Danio rerio: one gene and its partners. The protein of the gene in region 3 purifies or fractionates together with the protein of the main gene of each other region. This does not show direct contact. Links are inferred from orthologs where the notes say so. Each region holds a gene or a part of one and is shown on either strand. Other genes may lie near its edges.

What was found. Proteins that work in one complex are often made in the same cells at the same time.
Region 1: the proteins of csnk2a2b (region 3) and eif3s6ip purify together in Homo sapiens (affinity purification with mass spectrometry; 3 studies listed by BioGRID and IntAct, with this or other methods). This does not show direct contact. The link is inferred for Danio rerio from reciprocal best matches to the Homo sapiens genes CSNK2A2 and EIF3L.
Region 2: the proteins of csnk2a2b (region 3) and wdr5 purify together in Homo sapiens (affinity purification with mass spectrometry; 3 studies listed by BioGRID and IntAct, with this or other methods). This does not show direct contact. The link is inferred for Danio rerio from reciprocal best matches to the Homo sapiens genes CSNK2A2 and WDR5.

The regions. Positions count from the first base shown.
Region 1 is NC_133188.1:46,818,229-46,822,511, reverse strand, and holds the end of eif3s6ip (eukaryotic translation initiation factor 3 subunit L), read left to right. Parts: coding exon 1-52; intron 53-1,100; coding exon 1,101-1,290; intron 1,291-2,383; coding exon 2,384-2,464; intron 2,465-2,604; coding exon 2,605-2,682; 3' UTR 2,683-2,873; downstream 2,874-4,283. UniProt on the Homo sapiens protein: Component of the eukaryotic translation initiation factor 3 (eIF-3) complex, which is required for several steps in the initiation of protein synthesis.
Region 2 is NC_133196.1:19,691,073-19,695,802, reverse strand, and holds part of wdr5 (WD repeat-containing protein 5), read right to left. Parts: intron 3,489-4,730; coding exon 3,405-3,488; intron 3,272-3,404; coding exon 3,216-3,271; intron 3,122-3,215; coding exon 3,075-3,121; intron 2,852-3,074; coding exon 2,776-2,851; intron 2,668-2,775; coding exon 2,634-2,667; intron 2,544-2,633; coding exon 2,469-2,543; intron 2,359-2,468; coding exon 2,271-2,358; intron 1-2,270.
Region 3 is NC_133200.1:14,579,687-14,584,666, forward strand, and holds part of csnk2a2b (casein kinase II subunit alpha'), read right to left. Parts: intron 3,112-4,980; coding exon 3,010-3,111; intron 2,119-3,009; coding exon 2,068-2,118; intron 885-2,067; coding exon 825-884; intron 739-824; coding exon 655-738; intron 420-654; coding exon 309-419; intron 1-308.

The DNA.
Region 1 (4,283 bases), on a different chromosome or scaffold from region 3:
AGGTGTTTGCAGAGGAGGTCCAGCAGCAGGCGCAGCTCTCCACCATCCGCAGGTACAGCAGTTCTCTGACGTCTTCTGAGGAACAATCTAATCAGTGTTTTTCTCCCAGCAAGGCATTATCAGATATTCATAAGGACACTGTGGATATTGTAATACTTGAATGTTAAATTTAGGTTTTTTCTTATGTTATTGAATTATATTTTCCTATTTTTGGTTGTGTGGTAAAAAATGTAATCTATGTTTAGGGATTTTTTTAAATTTAACAAAGTAATAATTTTGAGTATTTTTGCACTATTTTTTGGCCAGTTATGGATGAATGAATGACATTCTCTTCTGTAATTTATGCTACTTTTTTCTTTCCGCTACTATTTTTGTTGGCAAAACAATTGATTTTTAGTGATAGATATTAAGGCTGCACAATATATCTCAAAATTATCGTTATTGCTCGTTATGACAAAATCATTGTGGTATTTGAGTATATGTATTGCAGACATGTGTAATAAATCATATTTTTTTTATTATGCATTGTTTGTTTATCTAAATTTTACTAATCAATAAAGATGGGGCCTTGCTTTCTTTATCCCCGCCTCAGTAGTTGCTGTTCTGCTATTGGCTGGAGTGACCCAAAGCCAAACCCAGAGCTGAAAATAAACACTTGTAAAGACAACAGCCAATCAGAGTCAGGATATCTGCCGAGGTTTTCACTCATTCATAGTGATTTAAAGCCTAAATGTTTCCACCTTGACAGTTTTTTTTTAGTCTGAATCAGAAGTTATTTGTTTTCTAGCTGGTTATTTTAATATGAAATAAAGTTTTTTAAGAACATAGCTAATAAAAATTGCATTTTCTAGAGAAATATTATATAATATTGCTATCACAATAGTCTAGTTTTATCAGTAATGTGGGGCCCTAATAGAGGAGTTGTTTTATTATTGTTGACTATTTATTACACATCCCACTTCCTACATGCAAAACTCTTGTCAAACTTTTAAAAGTTTAAATATGTCATTCTAGAGCATTTTGAATTTACATAGAAACAAGCATTTCCCCAGCAGTGTTTATTAGCACATCTCTGAATTGTTTCTCCATCTGTCCATCAGTTTCCTCAAGCTCTACACCACCATGCCTGTGGCCAAACTGGCCGGATTCCTGGACATGTCAGAGCAGGAGTTTCGCATTCAGCTGCTGGTCTTCAAGCACAAGATGAAGAACCTGGTGTGGACCAGCGGCATCTCTGCTCTGGACGGAGAGTTTCAGTCCGCATCTGAGGTCGACTTCTACATCGACAAGGTCTGTGGACTCACAGTTTTATTTGAGAAACTCAATGCTATTAGCTTGCCAATCTTGTACAAAAAGTACCACATTCAGTATAACTTCACAACAAACTTTCATAACATTAGTGATTAGTAACAACGCACTGGTTTTTACAAGCATTTATTAATTTGATTTAAAGGGTACATATTATGCCCCTTTTTACAGATGTAAAATAAACGTTGATGTCCCTAGAGTGTGTATGTGAAGTTTCAGCTCAAACTAGCAAACAAATAATGTTTTATATCCATTTGAAACTGCCACTTTAGACTTTAATCCTAATTGTACTGTTTTGGTGACTGTTGCTTTAAATTCATATAATATTGTGCTATTTTAAAAAAAGCACAGAGCTACTAATGCTTGCATGTCAGCATAGCGGCAGATTCAAAAACGAGACTAACGTCCTATGCTAATGAGGGAGAGATCATCACTAATGTTTGGGGCTTTTCCTCTCTAATGACATGTACAAAGGGAGAATGTCAAAGTGTTTCTGCAGACTGTTTTTATCAAGTGTCATTATAAGAAATACAATTATCAAGAAAAATGTAAAAGAACATTGACTGTATTTATACACTACTGTTTTGAAACCCTTTATAAAAGTGATTTTTGCATAAAAGGTCCCCTTTAATGGTAAAATTTAATACTGCATTAATAAAATCCAGAGTTGTGTTAATGCACGACTAAACATGAACATTATTAACACGAACATGGATTAATTAATGCTGTAAAAATATTTATTTCTAGCTCTGTTCACATTGTTGTATTTTTTACTTTATCAATGGAAAAAATCTCTTGTATGCTGCTTTTTATAAAAATAAATAAATCAAGATAGATGCATATATAACATTTATTAAGTGTAATGCATAATTTCTTACTTTCAAATGTTACGATTTTTTTTGAGTTTCATGTTGCTGTATCTAATGACCTGTAAATATCAAACTGCTGACACAGAAATATTATCAAATGTTATTATTTTGGACGGAAGTGTGTGTTTTGTTTCTGCTTGTGCTCTGATTTTCTTCACTGATGAGATGTGAGTTCAGTCAGTAAGAACATGATTTGTTTTCCTCAGGATATGATCCATATTGCCGACACCAAGGTTGCTCGTCGCTATGGAGATTTCTTTATCCGACAGATCCACAAGTTTGAGGAGGTACATCTTCTTGAATTTTTAATAGTTATGATTTGTCATATACTTTAATACAGCATATTGTTCTATTACTGTTTAACTATAAATTTTATAAAAATAATGTAAAATAATGCTTGGACGTTTATATCGTCTTGTTTCTTCAGCTGAACCGAACGCTGAAGAAGATGCCTCTGAACACAGGCGCCTCTATTTCCAGCAGCTCCACGTCACGAGCCACATAACGAAGGTGACTCCTGAACAACTGAGATCCACCAATTACAGGCCAGCCCAGACTTCTCAACCAATTACAAGGCAGCACTCATAGTCTTGAACCAGTCGAAACGATATTATATTGCTTGCTCTTCTTTGTCAAAATTGAGCAAAGCTTTCTCTCAAGCTGTTTTCTAAGTCAATAAAGTGAGATGTGGCTGAAGTGTAATGTGGAGTAGTTTCTCTTTGACTGCAATTAAATCTAGTAATCCTGAAAAAGTTTGGAAAAGAATCGTGCTCAGATTTCATAAACGAGAGTAAGCATCTGTTAACAAACTTTAGGCCTGTCAGTGGCTTGAGAGAGTTCAGTCCAGACATGTTTTTACTTCCCATGAAACTGCTGTATATGCATTATTCAAGATGCATTTCATTGCTTTTAACAGTTTTACAATATTGTACAAGTATCAATTATTTATGCCAACAGGACTTATCGTTAGCCCTTTTAACTCATGCAGACCTTTCCAGAAAATTACCGGCAATTCGATTGAACAGGCCCTTTTTGAAAATACTGATAAATTCGTCCAAAACAAGAATGGAAATTTAGTTGGTTTTGTCAAATTGATGAAAGGTTTTCCACTTAAATAAAAAAATAATCTAGATCAAGTAAAATGACTTTTGCATGCTAAAAAGTACTTAAAGCAAATATATATTTTCCCAATAACAAAATTGTGGCTGTTGAAATTGCTGAGTGGCTAGTGACTTTGAAAAATGATTAGCCATAGTGGCTGATTTTTTTTTTTTTTTTTTTTACTCTACAAATATTATTTTTATTATTTATGTGGCATCTTATTAGCATAACTGCCACAAGGTGGCAGAGTATCTTTATATATAATTTTTATTTCCATTAATTTAGAAAAATTTTGGGCAACGTATAACAAGATTAATAGTATATGGTATCCTTATGGTAGAAGGATTTTTTCACAGTGAATACATTAACATACATCAGTAATGTAATTATTTGCCTTAATCTAAATAAGGCAACAATATGATTAAGGTGTTTACATGAGTTGCTATTTGAATGTTCCTTTCATGATCCTGTTTTATGTTACAGCGCATAATTCGATTAACGTCATCACTGTGCTATCCACATTTCATGTCATGTTACGGTGTTACGTTTTTAATTAAAAAAAAGCTTTTTACTGCTTTTACTGTTTGGCACTTTTATTCAGGAACATTTCATTCATGTTCCCCCATGACAAACGAGATATTGGATGTGAGTATGAACTGCTGGAGGAGGATTGTTTTAATGGAATTTAATACCGCACGCTAGAGATCCGCTATAATCTGCACATCTCTGATAGTAAAATTATATGTTTTCATAAACGCTTTTAAATGAATATTTATTTATAAAAACAAAAGTTTGTCTTTAGACAAAATTTCCTTAATTTTCAAATAAATACAGAAAGAAAAATAAGACTTTTAGCTTTTACAGACACAGGAACAAGATAACAAAAAGGGTGCCACTTTAGCCTAAACGGCAGCTATGTTATGTTTACTTGGCCTTTTTCTTCGCACTGTGCAAAAACAGAACAGAATCTACTGTGCCTGGATTCGGGCGATTCCGCCTCACCTC
Region 2 (4,730 bases), on a different chromosome or scaffold from region 3:
TTGGTATTTATCTTCAGGAAATCACTGAAGGTATATATTATGTTATCATAACGATCTAATGTGGCAATAAAATCGTAACAGTACTGTGCATTTACACCCTGGCCATGTTCATCAATGTAAACACACCAAAAACAACATTAACATTATAGCAGACACTGTAAAACGGTCATTCCTAGCCACTAGACTCTTCTGACAGGGTATTCGAGTGTCAGAATGTTGTGGGACTGCTATACAGGAGTTATTATAGATAGCGAAATTTAGCGTTTTTTATTTTAGCTTTTAAAAAAAAGAGAGAGAAAAAAAACACAGTTATGAATATATTAAAACCTGTGCTTGTTTGTTGTAAAAGTTAAAAATAACGACAATAAATTACTAATACTAATTTGTGGATCTCTTTACTTCCGGGTGCAGCTATACTGCCGTTGTGGCTGGTGTATTCTGGGAAATTTTCTTCCCCTTAGTTTCGAGTTTGGTCCTAAAAAAAATTTCCATTCGAAGGGGCATCTACCCCTTGCCCTTATCCCTATGCCTTCAAGCTAAAGAGACTTGAGTAATAGAAAGGGCTAAAGGGTAGAATTGGACCTTAAAGTTAAAGGTTCATGAAACACCAAAACACATTTTTTGTTATGTTGACAGTCATATATGTGTTCTAATAAACACTATAGACACATATTTCACAAAAAAAAAGTGATGGTTGTTTTTGCTTTATTTTAAGCAAATTTGTTTTCTCAGATTTGAAACTAATTTTTGAAGCTACGTCATGGCAATTAGATCCTTATGTGTAATCCAGCATGGAGAGTGGATGTCTGTACTGGCAAATACATCCGAGTCCGAATGTGCAGCATTAATTCATGAGAAAGACTTGGTTCAAACCAATTAGCGCGCTCTATTGTGAATGAGGTGCAACTTAATTAATATGCACGATAGCTTCGAAGACTGTTTTTACCTAATAGAATGTTCAGACTGCAGAGAGACACCACGTTGTGTTGCCAAAAAAATGGAAAAACAAGAATTGTTTGGAGACATGGGTTGTCAGTGCTTTTTTTTAGAAATGTGCTGCAACAAAGGTTTTGTTTCAATTTCGTGCTATGAGAGTGCAGCTGGACTCACTTGTGGTTTACAATTCATGCGACAGAAATATATTTGTAAGGAACATTTTTTACCTGAAAGCTTTTCGCATAAGGAAATGGGGAAATCTGGATTTGCCACTTGTATCCTTTTAAAAAAGATGCGGCTCCAGTTGGTGTTGATTGTCTTGTCTCTACAGATTTGTACTCTTTCAGTTTTTAGAGACATACCTTAGTCAAAATGATTTAGTTACTAAGTTTACAGTTAGTTAATATCAATAGAATATTACAGACTGAAAGATCCGATGTAAATGCTGCTCTCCGAATGTAAACACCACAATCAAACTATTACCGTCATATAGAATTTTTGCCGCATTTTGCGACAGGATAGCAAGCGCTGATTTTCACAGAGGCAAAACAAAAAAAGACGCAGGGGAGAAAGACAGTGACTATGTTTACATGGACATCAGTAATCAAATTATTAGCCAAATTAATAATTTTCAACTTTAACTGCAGTTTGGCAATTTTACTTTCATTCAGGAACATTTCATGCATGCCTCCTGTGACAAATACTGGATGCAAGGAACTGCTGGAAAAGTGTAATTTTAAATGGAATGTTATCTAGTGAATTTGACACATGAATGACGCAAGTAAACTCAAATATTCACGCACCATTTATTCGCTCATGCCGCATCTGGTGTGAACTAGGGTTGTGCGATTAATCTAAATTGAATCGCGATTTTAAACGTTACAATTAGCTAAGTCGCAAGAAGCTGCGATATGAAATATATATGTATTATCTAATTTCCCCCGCCCAGAACTTGACTACTACTTCACAATTAGATATTTTCCCCAAATCGCACACAGCATGGTGAACACAGTGTGAGCACAGCATTATAGCAATCCGGCAATACACGTTTAAACCATTTCGATCTCTACATATGTGCTGCATTTGGATTAAATTGAATTATGTTGTAGTTACATTTAACATTGGTCAATTAAAAACTACAAAAAAAAAAAATCTAAAATGAAAATCGTGAATCATTTAAACAAACCTTTTTTGACATTATTGCACATCAATAAAAATATCACTCAAACACAACAAATTTGTAACGTAGCACTGCTTACCTGGAACTATTAGCAGGAAGTGCATTAAGCTCTAGGTAAAAATGCTTTGCTAACATCCACTGAACTTGCTCTTACCTGTGTGGCCCTGTAGTTTCTGTACAATCTCCTTGGTCTGAAGGTTCCAGATATAGACCATGTTATCTTCTGAGCCGGAGACAATCCACTAAAAATAAAGAGCAAGCCTTTATCACCATTTCAGTTCACATGCTCATGTCGAAAAGTTTTAGCATGTCAAGAGAGGCAATGGATTAGAAAAGTGTAAAGCCAACAAACCTTTCCACCAGTGACAGAGAAATTAGCAAATATGCAGTACTTCTCGTTTTTATGACCGGTGTAAGTTTTCAGACACTAAAAAAAAAGAAAATATTATTGTTATACACCGATTGAGAACTTTTTTATTATTAAAACAATGCACTAAACAAACTGAGAAACACTTACCTTTCCTTTGCTGTAGTCCCAAAGCTTCAAAGTACTAAAATATGAAGGGAATGCATGTGGATTAATAGAATTTACTTTAAAGTTTTCTTCTTTTTAAATAATACAATTAAATGTTGAAAATATCAAAATGTCCTTGACTTACTTGTCCAGAGTGGCAGCCAGGATGTACTTGCCATTGGGGGAGAACTTCACAAATGACACTGGTGGGTTGTCGTCATCTGATGAAAAATTGGAAATGTATACATTTTAATGATTGTTTATGCCTCTTTTAATGTCTTTCTTGTTACTTAGCGTACCTTAAAATTAACTGTGTTATACTAGTTTCTTATTAGCCTAAAGTTATTTATGCATATCAGATAAGAACAGATAAACACAAATGATTGCCATTTACACAACAAATCTAACCTTGTTTGTAGTCATTTTAAATGCTGATCAACTTACCAATAAGTGTTTTAAGGCACTGGCCTGATGCTGTGTCCCAGATACGACTGTTTAAGTCAGAAAGTGGGTATGATTGTTAGCTTTTTATTTCTGAAATATTTTTTCACTCTTGATTTTTTTTCATAGTCAAAGTTCACTCACCAAAGTCCATCATAACTGCTGGACACAATCAATGAGCCATCTCTATTGAAATGAACCTAAAAAAACAAACAAACAAAAAAAAAACAAATACACAATTATAATTCAAAGAAATCACTTAAATTGATGTCAGTTGTACACAATTGTGAATTGAATCATCCAGATGAAGTAAAAAAAAAAAAAAACACTAACCGCAGAGACAGGGTCTGAGTGTGCTGGAAGTGTCTTCAGACATTTCCCCGTTTTAACATCCCAAATCCTCACACTCTCGTCAAACTGCATTGGAGAGAAGAATTAACATGTATTAGGGGTACAATGTATGAAGTCATTAGCTATGTTTCCATCCACCTATTTTTATGCGCATATGCAAAATAACGGTTGATATAATAACAGTAAAAAACGGTTGATGGAAACGTCATGATGCGCATGAATTTTGAAAATGTGCATAAAAAAATTATGCGCATAACTGAGAAGGATAAACATTATGCAAGATATGCATAAACTACAGAGGAAACGCTTTTACTACACAAATTACAGTATGCACAATTTAAAAAGGTCATGTGATTTTGTTATAAGAGAACATGTGATAAAAATCTAAATCATGTGATTATCATGTGATAAAAACCAGCAGGCTGAGCACACTGTAAAACATTTGAAATTTAGTTTTGGTCATTCTAAAATGTCTTACCGTTTAATTATCAGTGTTATTATATTATTAATGATCTCCAGAATCAAGAGTGTCTGTGCTCCGCGTCTGACACCTTAAAACGCCACCCCGCGTTCACTGCATGTGAGAATTGTCTTCTTAGGCGAAAGTCATTAGATCAAGAAAAGATTGATGCAGCTTCTCCAACTGCAGCAAATTTAGTTTTTACTGTTGATATTTGGCAGCAGTTAATCAGGAAGTGTGTAATTTGTTCGCTTTGACTTGTTGGATGGAAACGCTGCTTTATTTGGACGTCTTTTATGCGACAATCCAGTTTTGCGCAAAAAGTTAATTTGCAGTTTTGGATGAAAACAGCTCTTGATTACAGTTTTCAAGAATAGAGAAACAAAGCTACAACTCTGAACTCAAAAGACAGTTTTCTATTGCAGAGAAGGGTATTGTTTGGCGCAGCTTTTACATTTACATTTTGGATTTACACTGAAGTTTAATACCAATTAATGTGGATATCTAAATTTGCGCATTGAAGTCATTGTTATTTATTCTTGGTCAGTTCGGCATCTCTGATACCAAATGTAAGGAACCTCTGGACCTCTTCTAATGACAAGGATACTACCATTTCAGGTGTTTTTTCTTTCAGTGGTATAAAATGATTTAGTCGTGCAAACTAATGATACAGCAGTGGCTGCTACTGACCATTTAAACAGTGTTTGGTGTCTCATGTCACAAATCCAATAATGCTGGTTAGGTTATGAGCATTCCTTCTGACCAAGTGATCAGCAATTTGTAAAATGCAAAGTTTTGGAAATGACACTGCTCACTTTAAACTTCATTTAAAGAGGTCGTTTCGTTCC
Region 3 (4,980 bases):
CATTGTTTTTAATCTGAATCGGGACAAAATGTGAAAGTGACTTTGTGCTTAATCCAGATTTGGAAAGTGCATAAAAGTAACTTGATATTTCTAATCTGGATTTGGGCAGAATGTAAAAGTTACTTTCTTTATTACTGTGTTTAATACGGATTCAGATGAAGTGTGCATGTAACAAAGCATTTAATCTCAATTTGAGTAAAGTGGTAAAGTGTGCAGAAAGTGTTTTCAATCCAGGTTTGTGTTAAAATCTAAAATGTGCAAAACAATCCAACACGATTAATGTGCTTAATTTACAAAGAACATATTACCTGGTAGTCCACCAACAGTTCTGGACCCTTGAAATAGCGTGAAGCCACTCTGACATTGTACTCTTGCGCAGGGTGATAAAACTCAGCAAGACCCCAGTCTATCAACCTCAGCTGCATCAAACACACACACACACACACACAAACATGACAATGCAAATTGACATCTGAAACACCACCTCACTTCCAAACAGAAACCGGTACTCTCATGCCCTCTGCTGGTGAGTAAGCGCAATAAATCCAGAATTAACATTGAAGGAATCTTTTTTTACTCAAAATCTCTCTGAAATGTACTCTAATGTCCTAAATCCAGTTCAGAGTTGAAAAAGATCCAAAACCACAACATTACCTTTCTTAACTGGTGATCGATCATAACATTGTGGGGTTTGACATCGCGGTGCATGATCCCCATACTGTGGCAGTAGTCCAGAGCCTGTCAGTCAAAGAATAAACAAACATTAACAACAAAGTGAAAGCCTTGAAAAATCACGCCACTGAAGCACAAGACTGTGGCCTTACCTTTAGTAGTTCATACATGTAAAAACGTATATCATAATCCGTTAATTTCTGATACAGCTCCTAAACAGAAAGAAAAGGAAAGAAATTAGGTACGTAACAAAGGATTCAATTTAAATGAGCTGCTAAATAATAATTAAACAAGTTTCTTGGATTCTTATTGGTTGGTATTAACATCCATTTCAAAATAATTCAACATAGATAGATAGATAGATGGATAGACAGACAGACAGACAGACAGATAGATAGATGATAGACAGACAGACAGACAGACAGACAGACAGACAGACAGACAGACAGACAGACAGACAGACAGATAGATAGATAGATAGATAGATAGATAGATAGATAGATAGATAGATAGATAGATAGACAGACAGAGACAGACAGACGATGATAGACAGACAGACAGACAGACAGACAGACAGACAGATAGATAGACAGACAGACGATGATAGATAGATAGATAGATAGATAGATAGATAGATAGACAGACAGACAGACAGACAGACAGACAATTATAGATAGACAGATAGATAGATAAACAGAGACAGACAGACAGACAGACAGATAGACAGACAGATAGATAGATAGCAAGATAGATAGATAGATAGATAGATAGACAGACAGAGACAGACAGACGATGATAGACAGACAGACAGACAGACAGACAGACAGACAGATAGATAGATAGATAGATAGACAGACAGACAGACAGACGATGATAGATAGATAGATAGACAGACAGACAGACAGACAGACAGACAGACAATTATAGATAGACAGATAGATAGATAAACAGAGACAGACAGACAGACAGATAGACAGACAGATAGATAGATGATAGATAGATAGATGATAGATAGATAGATAGATAGATAGATAGATAGATAGACAGACAGACAGACAGACAGACAGACAGACAGACAGACATACAATGATAGATAGACAGATATATAGATAGATAAACAGAGACAGACAGACAGACAATGATAGATAGACAGATAGACACAGACAGAGACAAACACACGATGATAGACAGACAGACAGACAGACAGACAGACAGACAGACAGACAGACAGACAGACAGACAGACAGACAGACAGACAGACAGACAGACAGATAGATAGATAGATAGATAGATAGATAGACGGATAGATGGATGGATAGATGGATAGATAGATAGATAGATAGACAGACAGACAGACAGACAGACAGACAGACAGACAGATAGATAAAAAAATACCTTAAAATCTGTGTTATTGATGCATTCAAAGACAAGCGCAGGCGTTCGAGACTGTAGAATGATTCAAAGGAAACCAACAGATAGAGAGAGAGAAAGAGATGAACAATCAGAAAAAGGGAAGTCCATCAAATCAACAATGGAAAGCATTAACTGACACCATCAAGCATTCATTGTGATCGCAATCAGGAATAAAACAGCAGCACATTGAGTACAAAAGCATCACGACTGGCTGCATCTCATTTTTCAATAATCTTTGCTATGATTCTCGCTCATTTTCACTAGATCTCATTGGGTCCAAAAACGCTTTAAAAATCATTATGGATAGTTTGTTATGAACAGTTCATTAATTACTTTTCCTTCGGCTTTGTCTCAATTTCCACAACAGAATGAACCATCGACTGTTCCAGCATAAGTTTTACGCAGTGGATGCCCAAATGGCTAATTTAGTTTATTCAGTTCATCTATACCGCATGTCTTTGGACTGTGGGGCAAACCCACACCAACCCAGGGAAAACATGCAAACTCCACACAGAAATTCCAACTGGCCCAGCTGGGGCTCGAACCAGCAACCTCCCTGCTGTGGGATGACAGTGCTAACCGTGCCGCCTTATTTCCATCTAGATTATATAATTTCACTCAATTTTATATGCGGCTGGAGGAGCACTCGCTACAAAAAAAAGCATATGCCAGAGTAATTGTTGGTTCATTCAGCTGGGGTGGTTCATTCAGCTGTGGTTCACTTAGCTAAAGGATAGTGAGTAAAAGTTTTTACACAACCATTTCCAACCTAAAAGCAAATCTGGGCCTGTAAGCTAGAAAAAGGCAATTTGTCTCAAATGCTGTCCACCCACAATCTTCAGAGACAGAAAAAATCTAACTCCTCCTGGGACAAACTGTCTGCTCTGATTGGCCAATGGAAGAGGAGTGAGATGGAGGACGTACCACAGGGTCCTTAACTGTGTCCATTAGCTGAATGATGTTGGTACCCCCTCGCAGGTTCTCCAGGATCTTGATCTCCCTCTTGATCTTCTTTTTCTTGACAGGCTATTATAGAAAGCAGTGATGTAACAATATACAAACACACGCAACATGAAACAGTACACGTCTTAAAGGAATAGTTTAGCCAAAAGTGAAAATTACCACATCATATTCACACCCCCAATTCATCCTCTGTGTATATGACTTTTTTAAATATCAGTCAGTTAGAAATTGTATCCTGGCTCTTCGATGCTGTAAAACAGTGTTGGAGAGTGGCTTTTATTTTGAAAATGGCCCTGGATCAGCAGGTTAATTGTTGCTGGAGGTCCCCAGAACAGGTATAAACATTGGGTTATCGTTCATTTGCAGTGGCAGGTCCAAAACTGTGGAATACCCTTCCCTTTAGAACTTCGCATCGTCATAGATGTGGCATGGTTTAGAGCTAAATTTAAAACCTGTTTATTTAGACTTGTTTTTGATATTCGTTAGTACAAAATGCGGTCCCACTTTATATTAAGTGTCCTTAACTATTATGTACTTACATCTAAAACATAAATACAATGTACTTACTGTGTTAATAATGTATTTGAGAACCCTTGTGGTGCTTTAGAGTTGGAATAGAGGTTGGGTTATGGACAGGTTTGGTGGCATGGGTAGGTTTAAGGGTTGGGTTAAGGTGTAAGGGATGGTCAACAGTGTATTTACAAATGTAATTACAGAAGTTAACTACAGAAGTAATTACATGTATTTAATCAAGCATAAGTACACAGTAAATACATGTATTTACACAATAAGTACATTGTAACAAACTATTAAATCCTATGTAACTACATATTAATTAAGGCCATTTAATATAAAGTGGGACCCAAAATGCTGTTTTATTGACACTTGTGCTCTTACCATTTCATGTCTTTTGATGTTTAATTTTATTTTTAATACTGTGAAGCACTTTGAGCAGCCTCCTGGTTGTAATAAGCTGATATACAAATAAGGTTTGAATGATTGATGATTCCTAAAACACCCTTGTCAAACTAACCCACAAGAAGTCAATCACACCGAACCCGCTTTTCCGTTCTAAAAACAGAAGGCGCACAACACTGCCTTTTTATGTCGCTAGGCAACCACTGTACCAACTGTGTATTGTGCGTTGCTGATATCCACTTTTCAAGTGTGACATCACGCAAAGCGGCTTTTAAGTCCAAGTGCTATATCAAACTGTATGGAGAGATGCAACAAATCGTAATAATAAAGCGATGTAATATTTTCGAAAATCACGATCGCAATATATACATCCATGCCTAATATCCGATGGCCAGAAAGTGATCATTTTTTTTATAAATTGTTAACATTTTGGAATGTCATGCATCAAGCCAAAAGACTGATGTGCACATGATTTTATAGGAATTAATTTTAATATGTAATATGATTAAAAAGTCGTCATAAACAAATATTTTCTCAATTCAAATGAGTAGGGGCTTGGACCTAAATACAGTATGACATAACAAGCGGATGGATATACTTGCGACCACAAGTCTTTCCTCAATCTTTAAAGAGTTTGTAGTAGTCGTCTTCACAACACAAACACTGCTGTCACTTCAATGGAAACCCCGCCTCTGCTTTCATTTGATTGGACAATGTAAAAAGATGCGAGTGGCGTAGCTCACTTTTTCCACTCAGTTGACTATTTTCAACTGCGAGGGCCACTATGTGCAATGGCAAAAATACACAGCACAGCATGCAGTTAAAATGTGAGGAGAGGAGAGACTCAGATTTTTACGGACTAGCTCCACGAGAAAATTTTTGCCCACTTGGGCTCAATTTCTTGATTTATTTGACAACTCAACATGAGCTCTCGCTCCTCCTCCTATAAGCTGTTTTAATGCGTACACCAACCCCACCCCTAACCCTACCCCCAGTGACATCACTCATAGAAGA